7 linked regions of the Macaca fascicularis genome follow. The protein of the gene in region 4 interacts with the protein of the main gene of each other region in a pairwise test. Links are inferred from orthologs where the notes say so. Each region holds a gene or a part of one and is shown on either strand. Other genes may lie near its edges. The genes, in order: ATPAF2, S100B, FAM114A1, SPG21, CTPS2, DTX2 and CCDC102B.

Region 1 (4,103 bases), on a different chromosome or scaffold from region 4:
CTCAGTGACCCTTTCCTAAACTCCTCCTCTCCCTCTGATAACCTTCAATGGCATGGCCATTTCTAAGTGGCCAAGTTCAATCAGCTTGCTGACTGAAGTGTTCATTGAGAAGAACCCACTGGGGTTTAATCTTCTACTACTCCAAACACGCACAAGTATCTCACAACTGGTAATGTCTTTAAAGAGCACACATGGGCCTGATTTCTGCACCTCCCTCCTCATTCATTCATTCCTATTTTCTTTCACATTTGACTGCCTACCATGTGCCAGGTACTTCCAAGAGCCTAAACTAGTAAGTTTAGGTACTATCTACCATGTGCCAGGTAATTCCAAGAGCCTAACTAGTAAGTTTAGGCTTTTTAGAAAGGAAAAGAAGGCAGTAGATCAAGTGCCACCATTATGTAAAGTGAGCATCCACTAATCTAAATTAACCCTTCGTGGTCGGGCGTGGTGGCTCATGCCTATAATCCCAGCAGTTTGGGAGGCTGAGGCGGGCGGATCACCTGAGGTCAGGAGTTCATGACCAGTCTGGCCAACATGGTGAAACCCCATCTCTACTAAAAATACAAAATTAGCCTGGTGTGGTGGTAGACACCTGTAATCCCAGCTACTTGGGAGGCTGAGGCAGGAGACTTGCTTGAATCTGGGAGGCGGAGGTTGCAGTGAGTCAAGATTGTGCCATTGCACTCTAGCCTGGGTGACAAGTGCAAAATTCCATCTCAAAATAAATAAATAAATATATATATACACACACATTTAAAAAGTAATTAATTAACCCTTTGCTTTTTGCCAACTTGGTGAACTCCCGAATGTGTCCCCTTTGCTATGCCTCCCCGGGATGCCCTTCCTTCCTCTTCTTTACTGGCCCTTCATGGCCCATTTCCAGGCCCTTCCCCTGAGTCCTACAGGTGAAACTTCAGCTCCCTGCTGCATCCAGCCCCCTTCCCCATTTCTATAAAGTTATAGAACTTGGACAGGTGCAGTGGCTCACGCCTGTAATCCCAGCACTTTGGGAGGCCGAGGCAGGCAGATCACAAGGTCAGGAGTTCGAGACCTGTCTGGCCAACATAAACCCCATCTCTACTAAAAATACAAAAATTAGCTGGGCATGGTGGCAGATGCCTGTAGTACCAGCTACTCAGGAGGCTAAGACCAGAGAATCACTTGAACCTGGGAGGCGGAGGTTGCAGTGAGCCGAGATCGCGCCACTGCACTCCAGCCTCCACGACAGAGTGAGACTCTGTCTCAAAAAAAAAAAAAAAAAAAGAAACAAAGAAAAAAAAAAAAGAACTCGATAGCCAGAAAGATCCTCAAAGACAACCTAGTACTTCAACTCATGCAGAAAAATGAAGAAGTAGTTGCATGCCCAAGATCACACAGACCTCAGAGGTTTTGCCAGTATCAGATCCTAGATTTGCACTCCTGCCACAATGCCAAACTGCCTGTGAAGTTCTCAAGTTTCTAAAGCAGGCAGTGTTAGGGAAAAGTCCCTCATATCTTGCTGTCACCCTGGACATGTTCTAGATACCCAACACTCTCCCACCTTCTTGCTGAACTCCTACTCATCTATCATGGCTCAGCTTAAATGCCCTTTCACCCAAGACCCATTCTAAACCCTGAACAGCCCCAAGATGGGAGCAGGTGATTCTCCGTGTTTTCACAGCTTCTTTGTATGTCCCTTATCAGGATATTATACCCTTTGCACTCAACAGTGAACATCATTCAGGTGGGTCTTTTTCTTCTTTAACTGAGCTTCTCTACCAATACATACAGGTGGGTCTTAAAAGACTACCGTGTCTCCTGCCTCCAGCACTATAAAACTAATTGAATGGTGGGAGGGTGTTACTGCTTTTCATTCACTGAAATGAATCATTCTCACTCTTACCCTAACACCACTCACCATCAGCAATGAAAGAGCCACTACTTCTGAGCTTCATCAGAGTTGGAGGTGGAGGTGACTCCACAGTCAAAGGTGGAGATGTCAATTTCTATTTAGCAGAGAAGGCTGCAGATGGCAGAGGTTGTGGTAGGAGGGAAAGTCAGGAAACCTGCAGCTGAAGTGCCCAGGATGGAGGAATGAAGGTCTAGGTTCTAGGTCCCTTCTGTGCAGGTATTGTGTTGGGCAGTGGAGACACGGAAAGCAGTCAGACACCTCAAATCTCTGAGACAGTCTGTCTGTAACCTAGGCGAAGTCCTGATTCAGAGCCCAAACTTCCCCTTTTGAAAACAAGGATGACACCTTATTTCCTAGGGAGGGCAGCCATAAGCTTTGAGAAAAGCTGCACAGGCCAAATATCAATTACTGTATCGTGCGTCACTCGCTGTTCCCTCTCGGGTCGTCTGCCCTTGTCTGGGCTTCACTTTCTCATCTGTAAAAAGACTTGACCGGCTTGCATAACCTCATGAGCCTGAACCCTGCCTCAGTCACCTCGCTTTGCATAGCCGAAGCCCGAAGCCCACCTTACCCCAGCTCGGCCCCTACCCAAAAGAGAACGTGTCATAGTCTTACCTGTCGGCGGGGCGTAAGCCCGGGCTGGAGACGGGATGGTTGGCCCCGGACTCATAGAAGCGCAGGGACCACCCGCAGGCCGATTCAGGAGACGGCGTCCCCCGTCCCGCAGCCGGAGGCAGCTCCTCCACATCGCGCCCGAGGGTCTGGGAAGATGCGCGACGCGAAACCTGGAGCAGGAAACACAGAGCGAAGGGACCCCCAAAACCGCACGTTCGGGCTGTACGGAAACCTCTCACCGCTTCCTCAAAGCCCTCAGCCTCCCTTGGACGCCGCCATCTTCCGCATGACACCAACGGCGCGCCGTCGCCTTCGCAAACCTCCTGCGCACACCCCCAGTCAATCAGCATCACAAACGCACCTCGCCCCGCCCCCTCCACGCCGCGCCTCGGCGAGGAGACTACAAGTCCCAGCGGGCCGCTCGCGCACCCCGCCACGTGTTTTCTCCTCCCGCCAATGGGCGGAAGCGCCGCGTGAGCCTGCTCCCGCCCCCGAGGCTCGCCCGAGCCAATCGGAAGGGGCGGGGTGTGTGTGTGTGCGTGTGTGAGTGTGTCTGTGAGTGTCTCTGTGTGTGTATGTGTGCGCGAGGGCAAGTCGGGAGGGGGACCCAGCTCAGGACTGGGAGGCCCTGCTCGCAGGTCCCTGGGTCCCGGTGGCGGCCAGAGCGCTTGGTCCGCAGGCAGCGGGCGGGTGGTCGCCCCTCCCGCCCCCACCCCGCGCGTGCGCGCCCCGGCCTCTCCCTCCCCGCCACCCTCCTCGGCTCCCGCGCGGCGGCGGCGGTTCCTCTCCCACTCCCCCCAGCCCTGGCTCCGGGGGACCCCGCGATGCCCGTCCGCACCGAGTGTCCCCCGCCGGCCGGTGCCTCGGCTGCCTCCGCGGCCTCACTCATCCCGCCGCCGCCCATCAACACCCAGCAGCCCGGCGTGGCCACCAGTCTGCTCTACAGCGGCTCCAAGTTCCGCGGCCACCAGAAGAGCAAGGGGAACTCGTACGACGTAGAGGTGGTGCTGCAGGTGAGCGCCGGGCCGGGCCGGGGCCCGAGGGCCTCCTCGCGGCGCTCACGGGCCGTGCCCGCCTCGGCTCCTCGAGCCCGCAGCCGCGGAACAGGCCCTCGCCGCCGGGGCCTCCTGCACCCGGCGCTTCCCACCCGGGACCTGCCCAGCCTGTGTCTCACACTCTCCGAGCCCCAGCCCTGACCTGCCCCTTCGGACCCGGAGCCCGTCGTGACCGGCTCCTGGCGGACCCCGAACACTCCCAGACTTGAAGCCCGTGACCGGCCCGTCTGGGATCCGGAAGCCCCTCATGACTAGGGAAAGGCCTGGGTCCTTCCTCCCCATGACCTGTCGTCCCTAGATCAGGGACTGCCACCAGCCCTTTTCAGACCCTGAAGCACTCTCCATTGGTTTCACCAGACTCGGGACCCTCCCCGTGTCTGGGCCCATGTCAGATTCTCTCAGACCTGAGACATGCCCTCCCGCCCCTTCCTCAGTCCCAGGAATCCGCAGACCCTGGGGTCTTCCTGCTCCTGAGATCTCCTTAGGAGGGCTTCATCAGACCCCCAGACGGGGGAGCGCCTAACCCACAACTGACTGGT
Region 2 (4,091 bases), on a different chromosome or scaffold from region 4:
GAGAAGGTGTCAAGTGTAAAAAGCAAGACTCACCTCTAAGAAATGGGAAAGCTCATTGTTGATGAGCTCCTTCAGTTCGGATTTCTTCAGCTTGTGCTTGTCTCCCTCCCTTCCAGAATATTGGTGGAAAACGTCGATGAGGGCCACCATGGCTTTCTCCAGCTCAGACATCCTAGGGGCTCGCAAAGGAAAGATGCCTTCTCATCTATACCTCATCATAAAACATTTCACAGGTTATCAATACAGACCGCAACCCAGACAAGGGGGATGGACTGGCCCTGGCACTCTTTTCAAGCTCAGAACAGCAGGCATGACCTGGAGGGGCATTCTGGGAATTTGTACCTTTATCAATCCTTCCACCTGCCTCTTAGACAGATGTGAGCCTTCTCTGTCTCTGTGGGCCACAGGGATATATTCCCATGCCCTCTGGCTTCTGGTTGGGTTGGTCCAACAGGGAATCTTTAGCAAAAATACAGACGCAGAGCAGCAAAGGAATTCACGGGTTAAATTTCTGCTTCCTCCCCACACGGTCCCTCTCTGTTCTTGTAAGGCTCCAAGATGAGGTGGTAGAGTGCAGGTGAGCAAACCATCGACTACAAGCTGTTAAAATCAATCTGAAAGTGAGACAGTGACTAGGAGCAAAATAAGACAAAAATCAAGAGCATTCCTATATTCTATCAATAAAGAAATAGAAAATCCAGTGCGAAATATTCTATTCATATAGAAATAGCATGTGATCTAAGACTAAGTTTAGGAAGAAAAATGCAGGTCCTTCCAAGAGATTCGGAGGAACATAAAATGTAGGAAGTTTTTCCTTTAAATTCATATGTAAATTTAAATCATTTTTAATAAAAATGATGGAATTTTTTTTGGATGTGTGACATGACAAAAACAGCTGTAAAATTCATCTGGAAAAATAAATATGGTAGAATTGCCACAATCTTTTTGAAGAATAACAGTGAAAGTTATTTGATCTACCAGGAAAAAAAATGTATCCTAAGTTTAACTGATTAAATGCGTGTGGTTCTGTGGCAGGGAGGGACAGAATCCGGCAGGAAGCTGAGCTGCTGAGCCTGCATTCTACCTCCAGTGCAGGGAAAGGCTGGTTCATTCACTGCAGTGACTGGGACGGGGCAGGAATAGGTGTTTCTCTGCAGCTGTCAAAGTAAGATCCCTCCGACCTCCCTCACAGCAAGTACCTTACGCCACAGCCTGCAAACCAAGGAAATATCTCATCAGTCTGGGAATGAGGCGCCTTCTACAAAGGATGCCTTGTCAGTTGTCTCACAAAACAGATGGGCAGGCCGAGAAATTTACCAGCTTTTGGCCTTGAGTTCTAATCATCAAATAAGAACATTTGCACTGTTATAATTAAAAATAAATTAATAAATAGTGTTGAAAAATCATTCCCATGTTGAATATATGACTTACATCTTAAAAATAATTTGGAATTAGATGTTAAAAATTTTATTTATTTCTGATGCTCCAAAGGAAACAGGATTGAAGATTTTTTTGTGCTGGCTAGATCTTTGCTAAAGGCATTCTATTAATAATCAGTGTACTTTATTTTGCTCTTGAGTCCCTAAAAATTTGGTAATTCATAAATAGAACAGTTAAGATGGATTAAAATCTTTAACATTTCATGCTTTTCTTATTCTTTGCACTCAAGTTTTCAATTATTGATATATGTGTGTGTATTTTTTTTGAACAAAACAAAACAAGACACTTTTACATCATTCTGATGCTCCTCAAAGTCCATGATGATTTGGGGAAAAGGAGGTTAAATTGTTTTTCTATGAACTATGACTAACGAGATTATTACAAAGGAAGGCATAAAACATGTATTCCATATATTAGAACACTAATAGAAACCACTAGAAAATATGGTTTTCTTCATAACCACGCTACAAATCAATTAAAAAATTCTTGTTAAATTTTTCCCTTTGACTTAATAAATAGTTGATGGTTTATAGTTTATCTTTTAAGAGAAATGGAAATAAATATGTTTCTTTCTCACATTCTGTGAATGTCCTACATTAATCTTTTAATATTGAGAACAAGAGAACATTTGAACTTTAACTCCTTAGAAAGACACGTTACCTAGCGTGTGAGGATCCCTCTAGGGGTTCAACCTCCCTAAGAAACTGTGAGACTGAAGAAAGTTAAAACCCACCAAAACCCCAATTTCTTTGACTCAATTTATTTGTAACTGTTACGTAATTTCTGAGTGGCGTCCTGGGGCTGTTGTCACCCTGGCACTTCAAACTGAGGGAAACTGGAAAACTGAAGAGTTACTTACCCAGGGCGGTGGAAAAAGTAACAAGGAGAAAAGGGGTTTATTTAGGATATGGACTAAACTAGCATTAGGTTCTCCATCATTTCCAGCTGCAGTGGGAAGCAAAATCTTTACTCTTCAAGTAGTTACAGGAGAGGTAGTATTTGTAGCACCACTGGGAAAATGTCAGCAATCACTTCTGGGCCGAGACCTGAGGTTTCTCTGATTTATGAAAAATACCTCTAGCTGCCTAGGGCTGATGCAGTCAGGTGTCCACAAAGAAGCAATAATGTAGAGATTAAAACACATCATCCTATTGACACTTCTGAAGTGCTGCCAATTGTCCTAAAGGGGGTTTTTAAGCTACCATTTAGTTTCTACCCCTCCATTCCCTTCCACCCAAACGAAAACAACCATTTCTTCCTGAGCATCCTCTTGGCCTGGCTCTTTCTCACCTCTTCCTTGTCTCACCCCTTCCTGGTCTCCTTGCTGCGGGCCTCGTGTCTGCTGCGGGTCCTGGGCGGCAGGTCTAGTGGGCAGAGGCAGCCTCTTATTCCGTCTGCCCAGGGAGGACGGATGAACCCTGGTGCAGCCCACTGCAGGCCATGGCAGCCAATGGGGGCCGAGGGCGGGGGTGGCAGGGCTGCCAGGCCTGCACACAGGGCTGCATTGACCAAGCAGCCCCGGGGACTTGCTGGGAGCCAGGATTGCACATGGGCTGAGGAAGAAAAAAGGGCCTGTAGGGCAGGAAGTGGGGAGTCAGCTTTTTGTGTGATTTATTTATTACATGAATATTGATGTTCCCCTAAAGGCAAGGTTGGGGGTAGGGAGAGGAGAGAGACTTGGATTAATTGATTCAAACAAAGCAAATGTGCAGCCAAGAACAAGCAGCTTGCAAGTACAGGCTGAGCGTAGGAGATTAAGTGGCCTGCAAGCTGGTTTCTAATGGAGAGGCCCCTGGAGCTTCTCTCCTCTGCCAGCCTCCACGTCTGGCCCCACCGGGCGTGAGGTTCTGTGGACGGTAGTGCTTGTCTGTGGTCGGCCCTGGGCTCAACGGGGCTGCCTCAGAGAAGCTGCTGAACCCAGTGTCTGCAGGGACTAAAAAGGGTGGTACTTTTAGGGGAAAACATGATGTGTGGATTGTATCCCAAGGCCTTTCCCTCCATCCCAGGGTAGAAGGTCACAGACTGTCAGAGTTGGACAATGCCTTAGAGATGTCCTGTGCGAATGCTGTTTTACAGAGGCGTGTGGACGGTGTACCCCTTGCTGAAGGCTCCAGCCAGCCTGAAGAAGGAGAAGTCCAGCTGTCCCCTCAACTTGTTGACCTGAGCCTCTGAACACGGGGGCCAGTTTGTGGGTTCTTCCTCACAAGAGTGAGGAAGTAGGTGTTCCTTCTGACAAATTACACAAAAGCATTGGCCCAAACTCTACAAACGTGTCCATGGTCCCCAACCGATGCCTGACCCAGCATCAGGTCCTTCTCCCAACCCAGTTTCGAAGTGGCCGTGAAAGGGTTTCCCACGAGATATCTGCGTACACGGCTGTTTTGCTGTCATTGCTTTATCTAGGAAGTTCTTTACCATTCAGGATCTATAAGTGTGCCCTGGAAATAGCACAGGGCCGAGAGCTGTGGTCTTGCGTGGGTCAGCCTGCCCCAGGCTCCTGTGAGGAACGGCCTGAGCCGGTTGGTTGGCCCTCACTTCCTCTTAAGCTTCACCAACCCTGGCTGTGGTCTCTGCTGAAGGATCCGCACAGGCTTGCTCTGTGAAGCACAGAGCTTGCCCAGGCCCAAGGAAGGCACAACTGTGCTCTGTGC
Region 3 (3,995 bases), on a different chromosome or scaffold from region 4:
GATCATCAAAATATCAAAATTTTAAGTAAAGACAGCATCCAACCCTCTGCCTACACAACTCAGCCTCCCTCGCTTCACTCTTATCCCAGACCTGCTATAGAATTTACATCGTGAAAAAGGTCTCGGTTTCAATTTCTAGCTATGTGACCTTAAACAAGTTACTCAGCCTTTCTGATCCCTATTTTCTCCTCTTTAAATTGGGGTTATCATGATACCTGCCTACTTCCTAGGATTTCTATTGCAACTAAATAATACTAAAAGGGTGCAGCAGCAGGTATGAAGCCTGGTCTGTAGGAAACATTCTACTTCCTCTCCTCTTCCTCCGTAGAGGATCCCTCAACAAAGCCAGTGTATTACATTTTACGTGCCTGTGGTACGAGCACTAATCTGTCAATTTCATACTTCTGATTCCACAGAGCAACAAGAAGGCCGAGGTCCTCAACCCCATGCTCAGTAGCGTATTGTTAGAGGTAAGTGGTCTCTGGAGAGAAAGTGCTCCTGAATCAAAGTAAATGTTAGAACTGCTGCTTCTTTTTTTTTTTTTTCTTTTGTCTTTCTCCCCCACAGCAAATGTTATTGCAATTCTGAATCTCATCATCAAGTCTTTTTTGAGTATATTTGTGTAGCTCAACCAGCTGTAAACCCTCTGATGAAGCAACAATACCTAATTTTCAAGAATTCCTGATTATAAAAAGAAATGCTAAGCTTGCACGTTATTTCCATCACTGTTTGCTCCAGCAGAAGCAGATTTCTGCTGCCAAATTTGACACTAGATTTAACACTGTGATTATTGGCTGCAATGAGGGGTTATTGCTCATCGGTGATTTTCATAAAAATGGGCACTTCCTTCGATTTAGAATAACCTTTGGTTTAGCTGGGTCTAATCTCCAAGCTGGCAACAATGACCAGGAGAATGTTTAGCCTATGCCCTGTCAGTGACAAGGGCACCATCCTCTGTGCCTTCTCACTCTGCGGACTGCCCGCTCACTAGGACTTTGCAGCATCAGCTGTGTTGATGTAAAGCTGCCCCAACCAACACTGCTGTGTCTTTGCCAGAAACAGTCGCCTAAGAGAGAAGAAAAGAGGTCCAGGAAGAATCCTCATTCTTGAATCATAGGCACTGTGTTCTACTTGTAGAGGAAAGGTAGAAGATTGGTAGAGGAAAATCTTCTGTTAGGGGCTAAACTATAAGTGCCCAGGGCACCTAGCTGAAGGCACAAGGTGTTAACAAGCTAAGTTTGAACATGGGCGATGCATATATCATAGGATTTTGCTCCCTGAGGTGGCTGTCCATTGCAGAATTTGGAAATTACAAAAGTTCAGGAGGGCTATTGTATTAGTCCATTTTCACACTGCTGATAAAGACATACCCGAGACTGGGCAATTTACAAAAGAAAGAAATTTAATGAACTCACAATTCCACGTGGCTGGGGAGGCCTCATAGTCATGGCGGTAGGTGAAAGGCACGTCTCACGTGGCTGCAGACAAGAGAGCTTGTGCAGAGAAACTCCCCTTTATAAAACCATCAGATCTCATGAGACTTACTATCACAAGAATAGCATGGGAAAGACCTGCCCCCATGAATCAATTTCCTCCCACCAGGTCCCTCCCACAACATGTGGAAATTGTGGGAAATTCAAGATGAGATTTGGGTGGTGATACAGCCAAACCATATCAGCTACCTATATATTTATAGCATTGTTTGGGGGACTTGCACCTTACTGTTAAGGAAAACGACAAAGGTACAGAAATAACTAAGTGATGGCACTGAATATTATTGTTTAGGATGCAGCTGCGCAGTAGGATGGCATCAGCCAGAAGGAATAGGGCTGTAGGGGCAGGTCTTGGAGGGACAGACACAGCTAAGAGAAAACCCTGGCAGTCAGAGGCAGAGTGTGGTACAAGAAAAATCTCTCCCTTGGCCACCCAGAAGGCATAAAATTAACTTACCATGTCAGGTATGAGGAATATGAGGTCAAATGTATTTTCTGTTTCCCCAGTAGATGTTTTCACATGTTTTAGTTACCCTAGCCTTTAAAAGGCCTCTCCATCCAATACTGTGTGTTAGTGCACCACAAAACAGGAATAATAATGTCAGCTATGCCAACCAAGCAGGAAGTACCATGCATAGGAGGATAACAGTGTTCAAGTTTGCTGTGAATAACTGCCCAATAATATCTCCAGTTAGCTTTATGTTGACGATTCTTATTTATCGATCTGTAGGGTAGGACAAACTGACCACCTTCATACTGTGTTTTTGTGTTATTTCAGGGCAGTAGGGTTGATCTGGGAAAGGGATAGATAAGACAGGAAATACCCTGGGCCAAAAATGTACACACACTGATGGATCTTAAAAGTCCACAGAAGTGGCTCACGCCTGTAATCCAGGACTTTGGGAGGCCAAGGCAGGCGGATGACGAATTCAGGAGATCAAGACCATCCTGGCCAACATGGTGAAACCCTGTCTCTACTAAAATACAAAGAAATTAGCTGGGCGTGGTGGCACGCGCCTGTAGTCCTAGCTACTCGGGAGGCTGAAGCAGGGGAATCGCTTGAACCTGGGAGGCGGAAGTTGCAGTGAACCAAGATCGTGCCTCTACACTCCAGCCTGGTGACAGAGCAAGACTCCATCTCAAAAAAAAAAAAAAAATCCATGAAAATGATTTGCCTTATCTCGAGTGAATTATTCTCTCTGTTAGTATAGATAATTGAGAGCTGGACATGCCCCATCCAAAAGCATGTGTTTACGCTTGCTTTAAGCACCAACATTGCAAGATAAATACAATCCAGTATTGGGGAGTGGGTTGAAGAGTGGGGACATTATCCAGTTGGAAGAATTGTCAAGGTTAAACTATGAAAATAACCCTTTAATCTCATTTTTCTCCTCTCACAGGGCTGCAACAGCACGACGTACATACAGGATGCCTTCCAGCTGCTGCTGCCTGTTCTGCAGGTCTCACATATCCAGACCAGTTGTTTGAAAGCACAGCCATGACCTGGCCAGACTCCATCCAGTTAAAGGAGACAGCTGGCCGCCTTGCCTCAATATGTACCATTTAAGGGGATGTTCTCTGTGCACCTGGCCACAGACACCCATTTGAGGACACTACAAGCAATTTTGCACAGACAATATTGAGAATGCAAATTTAGAGAGAGTTATCATTTCTCTCAGTGTGTATAATTATTTTTACAAAGAATTGTGTTTTCTTTAAGTTAATTTAAACTTACACGGCTTATATTGAATATTTCCTTTATCTGAAATTTTTTTACAAATATTCATGTTGATTTTCCTGGTTAAGCATGCTGTATTTAGAAATTCATGGGCAGACCTTAGACGTTTTTTTTTAATCCTTTAAATTTCAACCTTTAAATGTTCCATTCTTATAGTATTACTTTAAATCAATTCTAAAACTGAACTTTGTTTTGTTACATAAATGTCGCAGGCAAAAATAACACTACTTATAGATTTTACCTATTATGGTAAAAAAAGGAAAATATGGTCATTCTTTTTTTTTTTTTTTTTTTTTTTTTTGAGATGGAGTCTCGCTCTATCACCAGGCTGGAGTGCGTTGGCACAATCTCGGCTCACTGCAGCCTCCTCCTCCTGGGTTCAAGTGATTCTCCTGCCTCAGCCTCCTGAGTAGCTGGGACTACAGGCTTGCGGCCACCACGCCCAGCCAATTTTTTTGTGTATTTTTAGTAGAGACGGGGTTTCACTATGTTGGCCAGGATGGTCTCGATTTCCTGACCTCATGGTCCCCCGCCTCGGCCTCCCAAAGTGCTGGGATTACAGGCATGAGCCACTGCGCCCAGCCAGTCATTCATTCTTGCAACAAGCGTTTATTGAGCACCTACTGTGTGCTCACAGTAAAGAAACCTGATCTTATCCCAGTAGAGGTAGATATTCTGAAAGAGAATAATTCTTAAACTGCTTAAAGAAGTCCCTACCCCTGGCCGGGCGCGGTGGCTCACGCCTGTAATCCCAGCACTTTGGG
Region 4 (3,980 bases):
TGGTATGAATAGGAAAGTTTGTTCTCCTAGCTCTCTTTCATCCACCAAGGGGGTATACTTTTCCAAGTCATAACAGGAATATTCTGTATATGGCAAAGGTTAACTGAGATTGTGACCAAACTGGTCAGTACTGAATAAGAATGAATGTAGACCATGAGCTCAAAACTGATTTGATCTCTCATGATTTTGTTCCTCACAAAAACAAAAGCACCTGTTCATGCTGGTGGGAAAAGGACCACAGTATTAGCCTCAATCTTGCCTAAGGAAACCCCTCTTCAGGGTGTGCTGTGGACTCCCTGTCTTCCCTGGCCCTTGTGCTGCTGGACAATAAAAACTGCCAGTTGTGGGCCGGGCGCGGTGGCTCAAGCCTGTAATCCCAGCACTTTGGGAGGCCGAGACGGGTGGATCACGAGGTCAGGAGATCGAGACCATCCTGGCTAACACAGTGAAACCCCGTCTCTACTAAAAATACAAAAAAACTAGCCGGGCGAGGTGGCGGGTGCCTGTAGTCCCAGCTACTCGGGAGGCTGAGGCAGGAGAATGGCTTAAACCCGGGAGGCAGAGTTTGCAGTGAGCTGAGATCCGGCCACTGCACTCCAGCCTGGGCGACAGAGCGAGACTCTGTCTCAAAAAAAAAAAAAAAAAAAACTGCCAGTTGTGGCTGGGTGCAGTGGCTCACGCCTATAATCCCAGCACTTTGGGAGGCTGAGGTGGGTGGATCACCTGAGGTCAGGAGTTTGAGACCAGCCTGGCCAACACGGTGCAGCCCCGTCTCTACTAAAAACACAAAATTAGCCGGGCTTGGTGGCGCATCCCTGTAATCCCAGCTAAGCAGGAAGCTGAGACGGAAGAATCACTTGAACCCGGGAGGCAGAGGTTGCGGTGAGCCGAGATCGCATCATTGCACTCCAGCCTGGGCAACGAGAGCGAAACTCCATCTCAAAAAAACAAACAAAACAACAACAACAACAACAACAACAACAAAAACAAATGAGCTGGGCGTGGTAATGGGCGCCTGTAATCCCAGCTACTTAGGAGGCTAAGGCAGGAGAGCTTGAACCTGGGTGACGGAGGTTGCAGTGAGCTGAGATCGCACCACTGCACTCCAGCCTGAGTGACAGAGTGAGACTCTGTCTCAAAAAACAAACAAACAAAAAAACCTGCCAGTAGTGACTATGCCCCTATCGCTCAGGGCTTCAACAGAACCTGCCACTTTAAAGTCAACAAAATCACCTTTATCAATGTTTAAGTCACATAACCAGCATAACTAGTCAGAGGTTTCTGCTACTTTATTTCAATCTATAGTTGACGTGCATTATGGACAATCCGTGATTATAAATATTAGCCATGACAAAATATTAGAAGCGGAGAGTCTCTGGGCGATGCAACTGGCTTTTTAATGCACCTCTCCATCCCTCACCACAGAAGTACACAGCTATCCTTTTCTTAGATCTCTTCAGGGGAAAGCTATCCCTCTTTTCTTCATTGCATTATCTCTAAACCTTACAGGAGGAAAAGCTGCCTACCTGACATCTGTGACATCTCTTCTCACGCTCTTGGTATAAAAACTTTTGGAATTTGGACACAGCTTATTAAGTTACTCCTCAGTGGCTGGGCGCAGTGGCTCACGCCTAGTAATTCCAGCACTTTGGGAGGCCAAGGCGGGCGGATCATGATGTCAGGAGATCGAGACCATAGGCCTGGCTAACACGGTGAAATCCCCTCTCTACTGAAAATACAAAATATTAGCCGGGCGTGGTGGCGGGCGCCTGTAGTCCCAGTTACTTGGGAGGCTGAGGCAGGAGAATGGCGTGAACCCAGGAGACAGAGCTTGCAGTGAGCCGGGATCGGGCGACCGCACTCCAGCCTGGGTGACAGAGCGAGACTCCGACTCAAAAAAAAAAAAAAAAAGTTACTCCTCAATTTGTTGAATCTTTGTGCCAAAAGGAGCTGAACCAGTGTAGGTGGAGACAAAGGAAGCAGCATAAATGTCTAACTTATAACTCCCCAGGAAAACGAGAAGAGGAAAAATGAGACACTCCGGTCCCGCTCTGTTCCTCATTCCCCGTTCACAAACCTCACGCCTGGCCCACACTCAGCAACAACAAAGACATCTGTCACTTTCAGGCCGAGGTGCTGTCTCCAAAATTACTGACCTCTGCTCAGAGTTCTTAAAAGTTTGCTGAGAAAAAAAAAATGTCCCTGGGCTGCAGTCGTGTAGCCCGAGTATGGGTTTACAGGAGGATGCCCCGGTTAAGCCCTCTGCCGCCCCCACCTCCCGCTGGAGACTCATACACAGCTCCCCGCCAGTCCCACCGGTGACAGCCACACAAAGGCAGGGTCGCAAGCACACCGACCACCCCACAGCCCACAGTCGGCCCCAGACACACACTCACAAGGGCACGTGATCACGTGAGTGGTCACATGGACCGGCCCACTCAGAACATACTCACAAAGTCACACCAACCAAAGCAGCCACGCGCCATACACACACCTACAACACCGCATACCGCACACCCAGCAGCTTCCCAGCGCTTCGCCCACCCTCACCTGCCGTGGCCGCCCCCACGTCCCTTCCCCTCCTTCCAGAGGCTGCTCTTCGCTCCAGTACGAGCGCGGGCCGTGGAGGCGGCTGGGCCCCGGTCGGGGCGGGCGACCGAGCGCTCGGGACTCGCGGGCGCAGCAGGCCGTGCGGAGAGAGCAGGAGGCCGGCCTCTGAGGGGCGGGGCGCGTGGCCGAGCGAGCTCGGGCCGGCGCGCTCCCCACTTCCGAACCGCCGCTCAGCGGGCGCGAGACTCCCGCTTCCGGGTTCTGAGGGGGCGGGGCCACGTCGCGAGGAAGGGGCGGTGCTGCGTGGCTCCGGCGGTCGCCACGGCGACGGGAGCGGGGGGCGGCTCCGTGGGATCCTCAGCGGCGGCGGGCGTTGGGAGAGGGCTGAATTACCTGTGGGTCAGCCTTAGTTCTCCTGTCTGACCTGCGGACCCAGGAGAAGGGGGCGCCTGGCCCCTTGGGACCTGCTTCTGCTTTCAGTTCGCGTTTACAGCTTTGGAGAGACACCTTTGGGTTCCAGGCTTTGGTGAACAGAACTTTGTATACTCTTTTCTTAGGAACATTTTTTTTCCTTTGGCACAACCGTAGACGCTCTCCATTAGTCTTCCACTCAAAGTCCCCACTTCCTTTTGACGTTCTGGGGATTTCTGGGAACGTACGCCCACCCATCTTCCTGTTCCTTCATCATTTTCCCCTTAAAATCAGAGAGAATATTAATACACTTATAATACATTTATACACTTATTAATACTTATTAATACACTTATAATCATTGTTCTTAAGGTGTTGCAAACGTCAACGTCTTGAGGTGTTGCAGACGTCACGACTCTTTTTTTTTAGTAAAATATTTCTGAAATTATGATAAGGTGAATAACATGTAAATCTCCTTGTTTTGAATTTTTTTTAGGGATCCTGCAACAAGGTCCTGTTGAAAGTGCTTCTCTCTAATAGTTTTAGGGAAGCTTGTACCCTGTTTTAGGGCCTGTAGACTTTGCCCTTACCTAGGCAACTGTTTATGGGATTAAGGTCAGGGAAGATCCAACTAAATTGCATCCTACTTAATTATCACTTCTGTCCCCTGGCTCAGGAGCCTTGGGTTCCACTCTAGAACTTGGACAAATCCCAAAAGCATTTCCCAAGAGCACAGTGACATACTTACCTTTTTCTTTTTCTTTCTTTCTTTCTTTTTTTTTCTCTAAATCACTTCTTTCGGAGTTGCAAGTCAGTCGCAGGAAGTCATCTTTTATTGTAAGCACCACATAGATGTATAGAGCATGTTTCCATGGAGTATTTTAACTTGAGGGCCTTTTCTCCAATATTTGGAATTGTTCAATGGGTGGAATAACTTGCAAACTACTGGTTGTCTGTGAAACTGGTTATGGATATTCATTACATTAGTTGTCTATTTTCCCAGGTGGTCTCGAAGCTTC
Region 5 (3,500 bases), on a different chromosome or scaffold from region 4:
GGCACAGAAAGGATAAAGAACTTGCCCAAGGCCGGGCGTGGTGGCTCACGCCTGTGATCCCAGCACTTTGGGAGGCCGAGGTGGGTGGTCACTTGAGACCAGGAGTTTGAGACCAGCCTGGCCAACATGGTGAAATCCCATCTCTACTAAAAATACAAAAATTAGCCCAGCATGGTGGTGCATGCCTATAATCCTAGCTACTTGGGAGGCTGAGGCATGAGAATCATTTGGACCGGGGAGGTGGAGGTTGCAGTGAGCCGAGATTGTGTCACTACATTCCAGCCTGGGCAACTGAGTGAGACCCTGTCTAAAAAAAAAAGAAAAAAAAAGAACTTGCCCAGGTACAGTTTGTACAGATCAGTCTGACACTGGAGTCTGAGCTCTTAAACATTTTAGCATGCCTGTGAATCCTAGAGAAATTTGGTTTATCATGATGAAGTTTGTTGCATGATAGAGTTGAGGTCTTTGGAAACCCAGGGCAACAGACCTAGGCACTTTGCTTGCAGAAGGTATCCACAGCTTTCTGTATAGTGACAATAATAAAAAGCCTAGAAGATAAGACTCTGTTTCAAAAAAAGTTCAAGTATTTAGTTTAGATAGAAAACTGCTGTGTGCTTTTGAAATTTTGGTGAGATGAAGCATGGTGGCTCACTTTTGTAATCACAGCATCTTGGGAGGCCAAGACAAGAGGACTGCTTGAGCCCAGGAGTCTGAGACCAGCCAGGGCATCATAGTAAGAACCTGTCTTTACAAAAATGTTTTAAGAATTAGCTGAGAGAGTTGGCACGTGCCTGTAGTCCCAGCTACTCCAGAGCCTGAGGCAAGAGGATTGCTTGAGCCCTGAAGTTCAAGGTTGCAGTGAGCTATGAACATGCCACTGCACTCCAGCCTGGGTGACCTAGTGAGACACTGTCTCTTAAAAAAAAAAAATTCTGAGCTAGGGGCGGTGGCTCATGCCTGTTATCCCAGCACTTTGGGAGGCTGAGGCAGGTAGATCGGTTGAGCTCAGGAGTTGGAGACTAGCGTGGGCAACATGGTGAAACTCTGTCTCTACAAAAAAACCACAAAAATTAGCAGGGTGTGGTGGTGCTCACCTACAGTCTCAGTTACTAGGATGCTGAGGTGGGAGGATCGCTTGAACCCAGCGAGCAGAGATTACAGTGAACCATGATTGCACCACTGCTCTCCAGCCTGGATGATGGAGTGAGACTGTCTTAAAAAAAAAAAAAAGAAAAAAAAATTCTGGTTGAATGCACTGTCTGCTTTACTAGTTTCAAATATTTCGCCGGGCGCGGTGGCTCAAGCCTGTAATCCCAGCACTTTGGGAGGCCCAGACGGGCGGATCACGAGGTCAGGAGATCGAGACCATCCTGGCTAACACGGTGAAACCCCGTCTCTACTAAAAAGTACAAAAAACTAGCCGGGCGAGGTGGCGGGCGCCTGTAGTCCCAGCTACTTGGGAGGCTGAGGCAGGAGAACGGCGTAAACCCGGGAGGCGGAGCTTGCAGTGAGCTGAGATCTGGCCACTGCACTCCAGCCTGGGCGACAGAGCAAGACTCTGTCTCAAAAAAAAAACCAAATATTTCTCTTTCCTTATCCATAATTTTATTGCCTTTCAGATTATATCTGGGTGTTGGCACCCAGCCACTATTCTGCCAATGAAGTACATCCTGGTCACGGGTGGGGTCATCTCAGGCATCGGTAAAGGGATCATTGCCAGCAGCATTGGGACGATTCTAAAATCATGTGGACTCCGAGTTACTGCCATCAAAATCGACCCCTATATTAACATCGATGCTGGCACTTTTTCACCTTATGAACACGGTACGAAAGAGAACCACTTCCCCCTTATAGCGCTAGGCTCAACTGCATTTTTTTCTTCCGCTTTGGGTAATTTCTTTAGGATGTAGTTCCAGATTTAGAGTGACTAGATTGCATGCTATGAATACGTGAATTTTCTCATGGTCATTGACACATTGTTCATACCTCTGATGACATTCCAAATTAATCAACCCTTGTGGAAACATTGTACTTTTTGTACTATGGATTCTGTTTTATTTTTATCATAAAGGTAGTATGTTTCTCTTAACATTTCCCATTGCCTGGAGTAACTATTATTAATGGTGACATTTTGATGTATGAGTGTATTCTATTTATTTTTAAAATGGCTTTTGCCGGGCGCGGTGGCTCAAGCCTGTAATCCCAGCACTTTGGGAGGCCGAGACGGGTGGATCACGAGGTCAGGAGATCGAGACCATCCTGGATAACACGGTGAAACCCCGTCTCTACTAAGAAATACAAAAAACTAGCCGGGCGAGGTGGCGGGCGCCTGTAGTCCCAGCTACTCGGGAGGCTGAGGCAGGAGAATGGCGTAAACCCGGGAGGCAGAGCTTGCAGTGAGCTGAGATCCGGCCACTGCACTCTAGCCTGGGCGACAGAGCGAGACTCCGTCTCAAAGAAAAAAAAAAAATTAGCTGGGTGTGGTGTCATGTATCTGTAGTCCCAGCTACTCAGGAGGTTGAGGCAGGAGAATCACTTGAACCTGGCAGGCGGAGGTTGCAGTAAGCCAAGATCAAGCCATTGCATTCCAGCCTGGGCGACGGAGCGAGACTCTGTCTCAAAAAAACAAAACAAAACAAAACAAAAAACAAAACAACAACAAAAACCAACCAAAAAAAACCTTTTTATATGCAAGCAAAAAAGAGCATAAATCGTAAGTGTACAGTTGGATGAATTTTCATTAAATGAACACACTGTATAACCAGCCCCTGATCAAGAAACAGAAATGTTTGTGTCCCTTGCTATTCTGTCTTCTTGTTTTTGTTTTTTGAGACAGGGTCTCACTCTATCGCCCAGGCTGGAGTGCAGTGGCCAAGATCTCGGCTCAATGCAACCTCCCCCTCCTGGGCTCAAGTGATCTTCCTGCTTCAGTCCCCTGGGTAGCTGGGATTACGGGTACGCACCACCACGTCTGGCTAATTTTTGTATTTTTTTTTTTAATAGAGCTGGCATTTTGCCATGTTAATCAGGCTGGTCTCGACCTCCTGGGCTCAAGCAATCCTCCTACCTCGGCCTCCCAAAGTGGTGGGATTACAGGCATGAGCCACTGCGCCCGGCCTTGAATATTTTGTTTTAAACTTCACTAACCGGAGAATAAAACAAACAAAAAGAGGGTATCTTATTGTTTTAGTTTAGATTTCTTTGATTTTGATTTTGTTTGTGAATGACTTATTCAAGTCTGTGGTAGATTGTATTTTTGCTTCAAAATATCACCCACCATCCCTCTGTGGAATACATTTCCCTGCCTTTTGACCTTGGAGTTTGGCCACGTAGGATAGTTAACTTGTCTTGGTTTGTTTGGAATGTTCCTGATTTTAAAACAGAAAGTCCCGTGTCCTGGGAACCCGCTTAGTCCTGGGCAAACCAAGCAGGTTGGTCACTCTGTTTGGCCATGTGATTTGTTTTGTCCTATGGGATGTTAGGGAATATTAACATATGCC
Region 6 (3,500 bases), on a different chromosome or scaffold from region 4:
CAGATGCGCGTGCCCCAACTCCTGGCAGAAGATGCCCATGAGAACTCTAACTCACCCAAGGCCCATCACTCTCCTGTCTACTGGCCTCCTCCTAGCTCATCCCTCAAGAGGCCTTTTGGGCCAGGTGTGATGGCTCATGCCTATAATCTCAGCACGTTGGAAGGCTGAGGCAAGAGGATTGCTTGAGGCCAGGAATTCAAGACTAGCCTGGACAACATGGCAAGACCATGCCAATACATAAAACTGAAAAATTAGCCGGGTGTGGTGGTGTACACCTGTGGTCCCAGCTACTCAGGAGGCTGAGGCAGGAGGATCACTTGAGCACAGCAGTTCGAGCCTGCAGTGAACCATGACTGTACCACTGTACTCTAGCCCGGGTGACACAGCAAAACCCTGTCTCTAAAAATAGTAACAAAATAAAATTAAAATGTATTAAAAGAGCCCCCTGCCTTCCCGGGAGCATCAAGAACTCCCCATGTGCCCCAGATAGCGCACTCTTGGGGCCTGGGCTGAATCCCAGCTCTGGCACTTGCTGGCTGTGTCGCCAACCTCATGGGCCTGGAGGTGCTCCCCTGTAAGTGAAGAACACTGCTCAGCCTGAGAGCGTCGTGGCATGAGTGAAGTCACTCATGCAGCCTGCTCAGGAGGGCCTGGCACATGACACGAACCAATAAGTGGGAGGCGCTGTCACTGTGTCTTACACAAGCTGACAGGGTCCTCAGAAACACAGTCTGAAAAAATACTAGAGGTCCGAGAAGTCGCCAAGGAGGTCTCGACCACCCTGAGAAGTTTCAGCCCTTGACGTGGGTGCGGTAGGCAGGGGTGGGCCAGTGAGCAGGGAGGCAGCAGGATGCTGACCAGGGCCAGTGCGGCCCACACACTCCCTCACCACCCACACCAGCACACTCTCGGAAAGCCCCGTCCCAGCTACCACTCTGAATTCTCAAAATGTGCTCCAAGCCCAACACTCTCAATAATGAATGACAAAGCCCCAAGTCAGCCAGAGCGTCAGAGGGCTACGGCCAGCCCAGAGCATTCACCTTGGCCAAATCCAGGGAAATCCAGGGGGGTTCCTCATTTTATCTTTTTTTTGAGATGGAGTTTTTTTTTTTTTGAGACGGAGTCTCGCTCTGTCGCCCAGGCTGGAGTGCAGTGGCCGGATCTCAGCTCACTGCAAGCTCCACCTCCCGGGTTCACGCCATTCTCCTGCCTCAGCCTCCCGAGTAGCTGGGACTACAGGCGCCTGCCACCTCGCCCGGCTAGTTTTTTGTATTTTTTAGTAGAGACGGGGTTTCACCGTGTTAGCCAGGATGGTCTAGATCTCCTGACCTCGTGATCCACCCGTCTCGGCCTCCCAAAGTGCTGGGATTACAGGCTTGAGCCACCGCGCCCGGCCGAGATGGAGTTTCACTCTTTGTCACCCAGGCTGGAGTGCAGTGGCATGGTCTTGGCTCACTGCAACATCCACCTCCTGGGTTCAAGGGATTCTCTTGCCTCGGCCTTACAAATAGCTGGGATTACAGGTGCTGACCACCATGCCTGGCTAATTTTTGTATTTTTAGCAGAGATGGGTTTCACCATATTGGCCAGGCTGGTCTCAAACTCCTGACCTCAGATGATACGTCCACCTTGGCCTCCCAAAGTGCTGGGATTACACACATGAGCCACTGGGCCCAGCTTTAAGACAGGGTCTCGCTCTGTCGCCTAGGGGCTGGAGTGCAGTGGCACGATCACAGCTCACTGCTGCCTCGACCTCCTGGGCTCAAGCGATCCTCCTGCCTCAGTCTCCTGAGTAGCTGGGATCACAGGTGTGCACCACCATGCCTGGCTAATTAAAAATTTTTTGTGTGTGTGGAGATGAGGTCTCACTATGTTGCTCAGGCTGGTTTCTGACTCCTGGGCTCAAATGATCTTCCTGCCTTGGCCTCCCAAAGTGCTGGGATTAAAGGTGTCAGCCTCTGTGCTTGGCCAATCTCCTCACTTTAAATGCCACCTGCTCTGGTCTGCACGGGGCCCGTGGTATCCTTATCTCTCTCTCAAGGAGCTGAGTGCTTTACCAGGCACTCTGGGCTGGGCTGCATCAGCAGGGGGCCGGGTCACCCATGCCACCTGCAGCCACTGCCACATGCTCCACATTCTGTCCTCCCTCACACCGTGCTGACAGCCCCCCACACTAGACTGGGTCGCAGGGGTAAGGGCTGATGCTCTGGTCTCTGGGTCTTCACGACCTGGCACATGGCAGGAGTCAGTGTACAGGCAGTGACCCGGTGTTCTCAGGCACAATGCTCGCCATGAAGCCCGCAAGCAGAGGCCACAGGCCTCTAACTCTGCTCTCCGTGGAGGGTCCCAGCATCGTGAGTGAAAGGACTGTAGATTCTAACCCGTGTGGTGACCACCAGGACTCGGGTACAAGGGGTCAGGTAGGCTCTGGACGGCCATGGCACCTCAGCACTCACATGGCACATGCAAATGAGATGCCATGGCAGGGACCACCCAGGGGGCAGGAGCCGCATCTGCAGGAATTGGGGTGAGTCTTCCCAGCCAAGTAAGAGCGGAAACACAGGGCGGACAAAACGAGTGGCTGTTGCCCACAATACCTGACTGCACCAGAAGTGGAGGATCCTGGGGGCAGGTGCTGCAGTCCCAGGTGGGAGAGGCTGGAGCGGTAGAGGGGCTGGCTCCCCAGGGAGGGAGGAGCCGCGCCCCAGGGGTTGGTGGTGTTCAGCCTGGGCGCAGACCGAGCCCCGGAGAGTGAGGGTTTGCTGTACGGTGCAAAGGCCTGGTGGGTCCCAAACACAAAAGCGGTCCTGTGCGGGGGGTGCTGGGGGGCGGGGTACGCAGGGAGGTTGGTCATGGAGTGGCGGTAGCGGCCTGACACGGGGCCAGTTCCGCTGCCGCTGAGGCACTGGTGGCAAGAGCAGGCAACGCCCGTGTGGCCCGGCGGAGCGATGATGGTGGTCACCGGGTAAGGCGGCCCTGCTTGGCGCCGCACACTGCGGCAGAAGCTGGAAGTCTTGTTGGTCTGCGTTTGGGTGGCATAGTTGACAGTGTAGTTGTACCCCAGCGGGGCCAAGTCCACGAGCTGATTGCCCCTGGCCACCTGCTGCTCCAGATAGTCACAGACGCTGGCTTCGTAGGCGGTCCAGGAGCCATCGTCGCTCAGCCACTCCCAGACGACACCTCGGCCAGGGGCTGAGTGCTGGGGGAACAGGTGCCTCCGCACAGCCCTCATGGTGCCTGTTTCCAAAGAAAAACAAAAGGTTAGTCTGCTAGCATCCCCAAAATACAGGGAACGTTCAAATTCTTTTTTCAACAGCCCAAATAAATAGGAACACAGTAGGTACACAGTCATGCTGCTATTTGTTTATTTATTTTTAGAGACAGGGTCTCCTTTGTCGCCCAGGCTGCAGTGCCGTGATGTGATCATAGTTCTCTGCCACCCTGACCTCCTGGGCTCAAGTGATCCTCCTGCCTTAGCCTCCTGAAGAGCTGGGACTACA
Region 7 (3,500 bases), on a different chromosome or scaffold from region 4:
TTTTTAAGTTGTAAAAGGATGATGTACACATATCCTTAAACATAGTATATAAAAGCAACTACTCAATGGAGATTTATGTGATAAGATTACTCATGTAAATAAAATTATTTTTCTATGAATTAATAGTGCAATTTAAAACTGGAAGGCATTTTCTTTAAAAATGTATTCCCTATACCACTGAAATAAAAAAAAATCAAATGTAAAGCCCTGTAAAAAGTCATACCTTTTTCAATTAATAGGGACTTACAAAAATTTTATTGAACAGTTAGAATATTAAAACCCAACATATTTTTTTTAAATTTATGTGGGGTTCTTAATGAGTAGCAGGCAGCTTTATGTCTGCCACAAACCTTTGGTAAGTGTGATTTAAATGCAAATGTCATGTAGTAAGAGATCTTATATTTCTTTTAGAGACTAAGATTCAAGCAGTGTTTGCACTAGTGGCCTTTACATGCTAGCACCTTCTTTCACTGCCTCACTCATGTATGGAACTTCTATACATATGTAGACATAGTACTTATACATGGTATACACACACACACACACACACACACACACATACGCACATGCACATAGCACCATGGTATTCATCCATGGTACTTATATACATATAAATTAACTCTTATTGAAATAGTGTTAAAACTACAATATGGTTTTGTGTTATGATAAAATCTACATTATTCCCTGAACCTTGGCATATTCTGTACACAGCTCTGATTCATTTGACATTTGAGGACATCATAATCTTGACATTTTGAGCTTCTGGGGAAGTTCCTGTTACACTAAGAATTTTGGCGTGCTACTGTTCCAAAATAAGTGATTATTTTAGTTCCAGCAGATAGTCTGAATTTATAATGAAGAGGGTAAAAATCACCAATGCCACCCCCACCATCAAAATGATCTATACTTAAAAAATCCTACAGTCTTCTAAGTGATCAGCATACCCACTGACTTAGACCTTCGAGGATCCTCCCAGTTTCCAAGTTCTGCTTAGTCCTAGTCCAAATGACTACACTGTCGTCAAAGAGACCAGGTCTGGAATAGGTGTGCCCTGATGACAGGTTACGACAATGCCAGCTCCAAACAGGCCTCAATTTTTCCTGAAAGACACACTTTATATTATGACATTTTGGTACAACTAGAAAGGTGCCAAAATTAAATATATAATCAATTGCTTCTTAATCTATGTCCCCTGCCACTTTATTCTTAGCAGTTATTATAGTGTTTTATTTATAAAAATTTGTATGACTCCCTGCATAGACTCTAAGCCCATGCTAGGCGGGGATAATGATTCATTAATTACTATTCTCATTACCTGCATATAGAACAGTGACTGACACAGAGAATAATACAAATAAATGTTTGTCTTGTTTAAATAAATCAAATAAAAAGTATTTCTGTAATCAATCCACAGTCCATAATTGAGATGATTCTGTGCTGTTTAGAGTAGAGATGTCCAAAAAAGATGTCTACAGATTTATCAGTGTACTTATGTCAGAATCAAATACATTATTATAGATAGTTTATGAATCAGTACAATAGAAAATTATGGTCACGGACTATAACATTTAACTTTAGATATTTGCATTGCTAGGTCATGAAACACTAATACAATTTAATCTTGCATTTGCAATAAATCCCTAGATTCATGAAAGAATGACAAAACAATACGGAATTCAATTTTTCTGGCCATGTAGCTTTTAGAGCTTATATGAGTATGAATGACTCATATATCTCAAAACTATGAACTTATCAAACTCACCCTTGAAAACTGTTACAGGAATTGAGTGAGAAATAGAATTGTGCATTAAGATGCTATATGTAATTGAAAAATAGAAACAAGGAAAATAAAATTTGCAGCATATTGACACAAACCCACATTAAAACTATAAGACTGTCATTAAAAACACGTTTAAAAATCTGTAAACTATCAAAAAAATGTCCGCCTATAGCACAAACTATATCTATTGGCTTGGGGATAAAACACATCTAAAATTAAATTTCCCAAATTCAAATTAGGAATGTTATTCTGGTTTTAAGATTTGTACCATAGGCTGGAAAAATTATTTGAAAAATTATGCATTTAATTAGCTCAAAAATAATCGTTCTGAAACTGACAAAAAAAGAACCAGAAACAGTGAGTTTCAGCTAAATTTAAATGTTTATGTAGAACTTACCATAGCTACCAGCAAGTGCTTATTGTATAGTTGCTTGAATTAATGAAAAAATCTTTACTGGAAATAAGATCAATAGCTTAGAAAATACTGAGACAAAGCTTTAATAAGAAACAAAAAACCAGAAAGGTCTATTTCTTACTTCATTTTTCTTCCTCCTTTTGGAAATCTCGAAACTGTCTGAAGATTTGTCATATTTTAACATTTGACACACTTTGTTTCAGATGCATGAACAACATTATTTTACATCCTAGTGGGCAGAAGAGCAAGGGGTATCAGGTGTTAGCTAGCACAAAAGGAAATAGCCAAATGTGGAGGCATGTACCAGTGAAGACAGACTCGGCATAGGCATGAGGGTGAGATTAGACAGTGAGAATTTGCTCCAAGGAGCACCCATACCTGGTTTTTCTCTTGCAGGTCAATTTGTGACTTCTTGAAATCAGGACTTGGAGAGTTTGCACTTAATCTAATTTTCTTATCCAAGAGCTCTTCCATTTCTTTCATCTGGATCTTCAACCTTCTATTTTCTCTCTCCAGTCCCTGCTTTTCTGTTTCAAGTATTTCCCTCTTGTCCCATTCCGAGCTGTTTTCAGCTTGCAATCTCTCTAGCTACACACAGAAAACACAAAAAAGCAGCATGCAGCATTTGCAACTGCCAAAAGGTAACGCCACCGACAAACAGACTCCCATTAAGAAAGGTTCATGGATATGTCCATTGATATAATTTTAAAAAGAAAATTCTATTTGTTTGAAAACATGAGAAAAATACAAAAGTCTGAAGATCAGGCCAAACCGTAGATAAATAGACTTTTCCTCTTGGTTCATATAACTATCTCTACAGCCATATGGACCATATTTTTCAAATACATGTGTCAAGTGAAAAACTGCTGCTCTTGGGAACACATTAATCTCCACTCTCAACTGATGAACATTCTCAGTGGAGAAGACACAAAACCATTTTGTGGGCAATTTTGATTGGATATATTCCACTTATTCATTCACTCATTTATCTAGGGAATAGATAAATGCTATATATCTATCTTTCTATCTATCTGTCTGTCTATCTATCCATCCATCCATCTATCTATGCAACATTCGCAGTTGCCAAAAGGTAATGCAAAAGGTAATTTCATTTTGGCCAGGCGCGGTGGCTCACGCCTGTGATCCCAGCACTTTGGGAGGCCCAAGTGGGCGGATCACAAGGTCAGGAGATCAAGACCATCCTGGCTAACACGGTGAAACCTCGTCTCTACTAAAAATACAAAAAATTAGCCAGGCGTGGTGGTGGGCGCCTGTAGTCCCAGCTACTTGGGAGGCTGAGGCAGG

Evidence for each region.
Region 1: the proteins of SPG21 (region 4) and ATPAF2 interact in binary tests that used the Homo sapiens proteins (3 or more experiments, as listed by UniProt). The two-hybrid records come from large-scale screens. The link is inferred for Macaca fascicularis from reciprocal best matches to the Homo sapiens genes SPG21 and ATPAF2.
Region 2: the proteins of SPG21 (region 4) and S100B interact in binary tests that used the Homo sapiens proteins (3 or more experiments, as listed by UniProt). The two-hybrid records come from large-scale screens. The link is inferred for Macaca fascicularis from reciprocal best matches to the Homo sapiens genes SPG21 and S100B.
Region 3: the proteins of SPG21 (region 4) and FAM114A1 interact in binary tests that used the Homo sapiens proteins (3 or more experiments, as listed by UniProt). The two-hybrid records come from large-scale screens. The link is inferred for Macaca fascicularis from reciprocal best matches to the Homo sapiens genes SPG21 and FAM114A1.
Region 5: the proteins of SPG21 (region 4) and CTPS2 interact in binary tests that used the Homo sapiens proteins (3 or more experiments, as listed by UniProt). The two-hybrid records come from large-scale screens. The link is inferred for Macaca fascicularis from reciprocal best matches to the Homo sapiens genes SPG21 and CTPS2.
Region 6: the proteins of SPG21 (region 4) and DTX2 interact in binary tests that used the Homo sapiens proteins (3 or more experiments, as listed by UniProt). The two-hybrid records come from large-scale screens. The link is inferred for Macaca fascicularis from reciprocal best matches to the Homo sapiens genes SPG21 and DTX2.
Region 7: the proteins of SPG21 (region 4) and CCDC102B interact in binary tests that used the Homo sapiens proteins (3 or more experiments, as listed by UniProt). The two-hybrid records come from large-scale screens. The link is inferred for Macaca fascicularis from reciprocal best matches to the Homo sapiens genes SPG21 and CCDC102B.

Annotation. Positions count from the first base shown.
Region 1 is NC_088390.1:18,151,858-18,155,960, forward strand, and holds the start of ATPAF2 (ATP synthase mitochondrial F1 complex assembly factor 2), read right to left. Parts: upstream 2,801-4,103; 5' UTR 2,643-2,800; coding exon 2,510-2,642; intron 1-2,509. Other genes in the region: GID4 (glucose-induced degradation protein 4 homolog), read left to right, coding at 3,085-3,522. UniProt on the Homo sapiens protein: Plays a role in the assembly of the F1 component of the mitochondrial ATP synthase (ATPase).
Region 2 is NC_088377.1:522,084-526,174, reverse strand, and holds the start of S100B (protein S100-B), read right to left. Parts: upstream 2,801-4,091; 5' UTR 2,731-2,800; intron 180-2,730; exon of another isoform or gene 173-179; 5' UTR 172-172; coding exon 34-171; intron 1-33. UniProt on the Homo sapiens protein: Small zinc- and- and calcium-binding protein that is highly expressed in astrocytes and constitutes one of the most abundant soluble proteins in brain.
Region 3 is NC_088379.1:38,235,135-38,239,129, forward strand, and holds the end of FAM114A1 (protein NOXP20), read left to right. Parts: intron 1-416; coding exon 417-470; intron 471-2,893; coding exon 2,894-2,995; 3' UTR 2,996-3,495; downstream 3,496-3,995. UniProt on the Homo sapiens protein: May play a role in neuronal cell development.
Region 4 is NC_088381.1:41,578,780-41,582,759, forward strand, and holds the start of SPG21 (maspardin), read right to left. Parts: upstream 2,801-3,980; 5' UTR 2,551-2,800; intron 1,727-2,550; 5' UTR 1,527-1,726; intron 1-1,526. UniProt on the Homo sapiens protein: May play a role as a negative regulatory factor in CD4-dependent T-cell activation.
Region 5 is NC_088395.1:16,509,013-16,512,512, reverse strand, and holds part of CTPS2 (CTP synthase 2), read left to right. Parts: intron 1-1,619; 5' UTR 1,620-1,658; coding exon 1,659-1,824; intron 1,825-3,500. UniProt on the Homo sapiens protein: Catalyzes the ATP-dependent amination of UTP to CTP with either L-glutamine or ammonia as the source of nitrogen. Constitutes the rate-limiting enzyme in the synthesis of cytosine nucleotides.
Region 6 is NC_088377.1:51,247,824-51,251,323, forward strand, and holds part of DTX2 (probable E3 ubiquitin-protein ligase DTX2), read right to left. Parts: intron 3,238-3,500; coding exon 2,598-3,237; intron 1-2,597. UniProt on the Homo sapiens protein: Regulator of Notch signaling, a signaling pathway involved in cell-cell communications that regulates a broad spectrum of cell-fate determinations.
Region 7 is NC_088392.1:11,756,766-11,760,265, forward strand, and holds part of CCDC102B (coiled-coil domain-containing protein 102B), read right to left. Parts: intron 2,784-3,500; coding exon 2,574-2,783; intron 1-2,573. UniProt on the Homo sapiens protein: During interphase, forms fibers at the proximal ends of centrioles to maintain centrosome cohesion. During mitosis, dissociates from the centrosome following phosphorylation to allow centrosome separation. Contributes to CROCC/rootletin filament formation.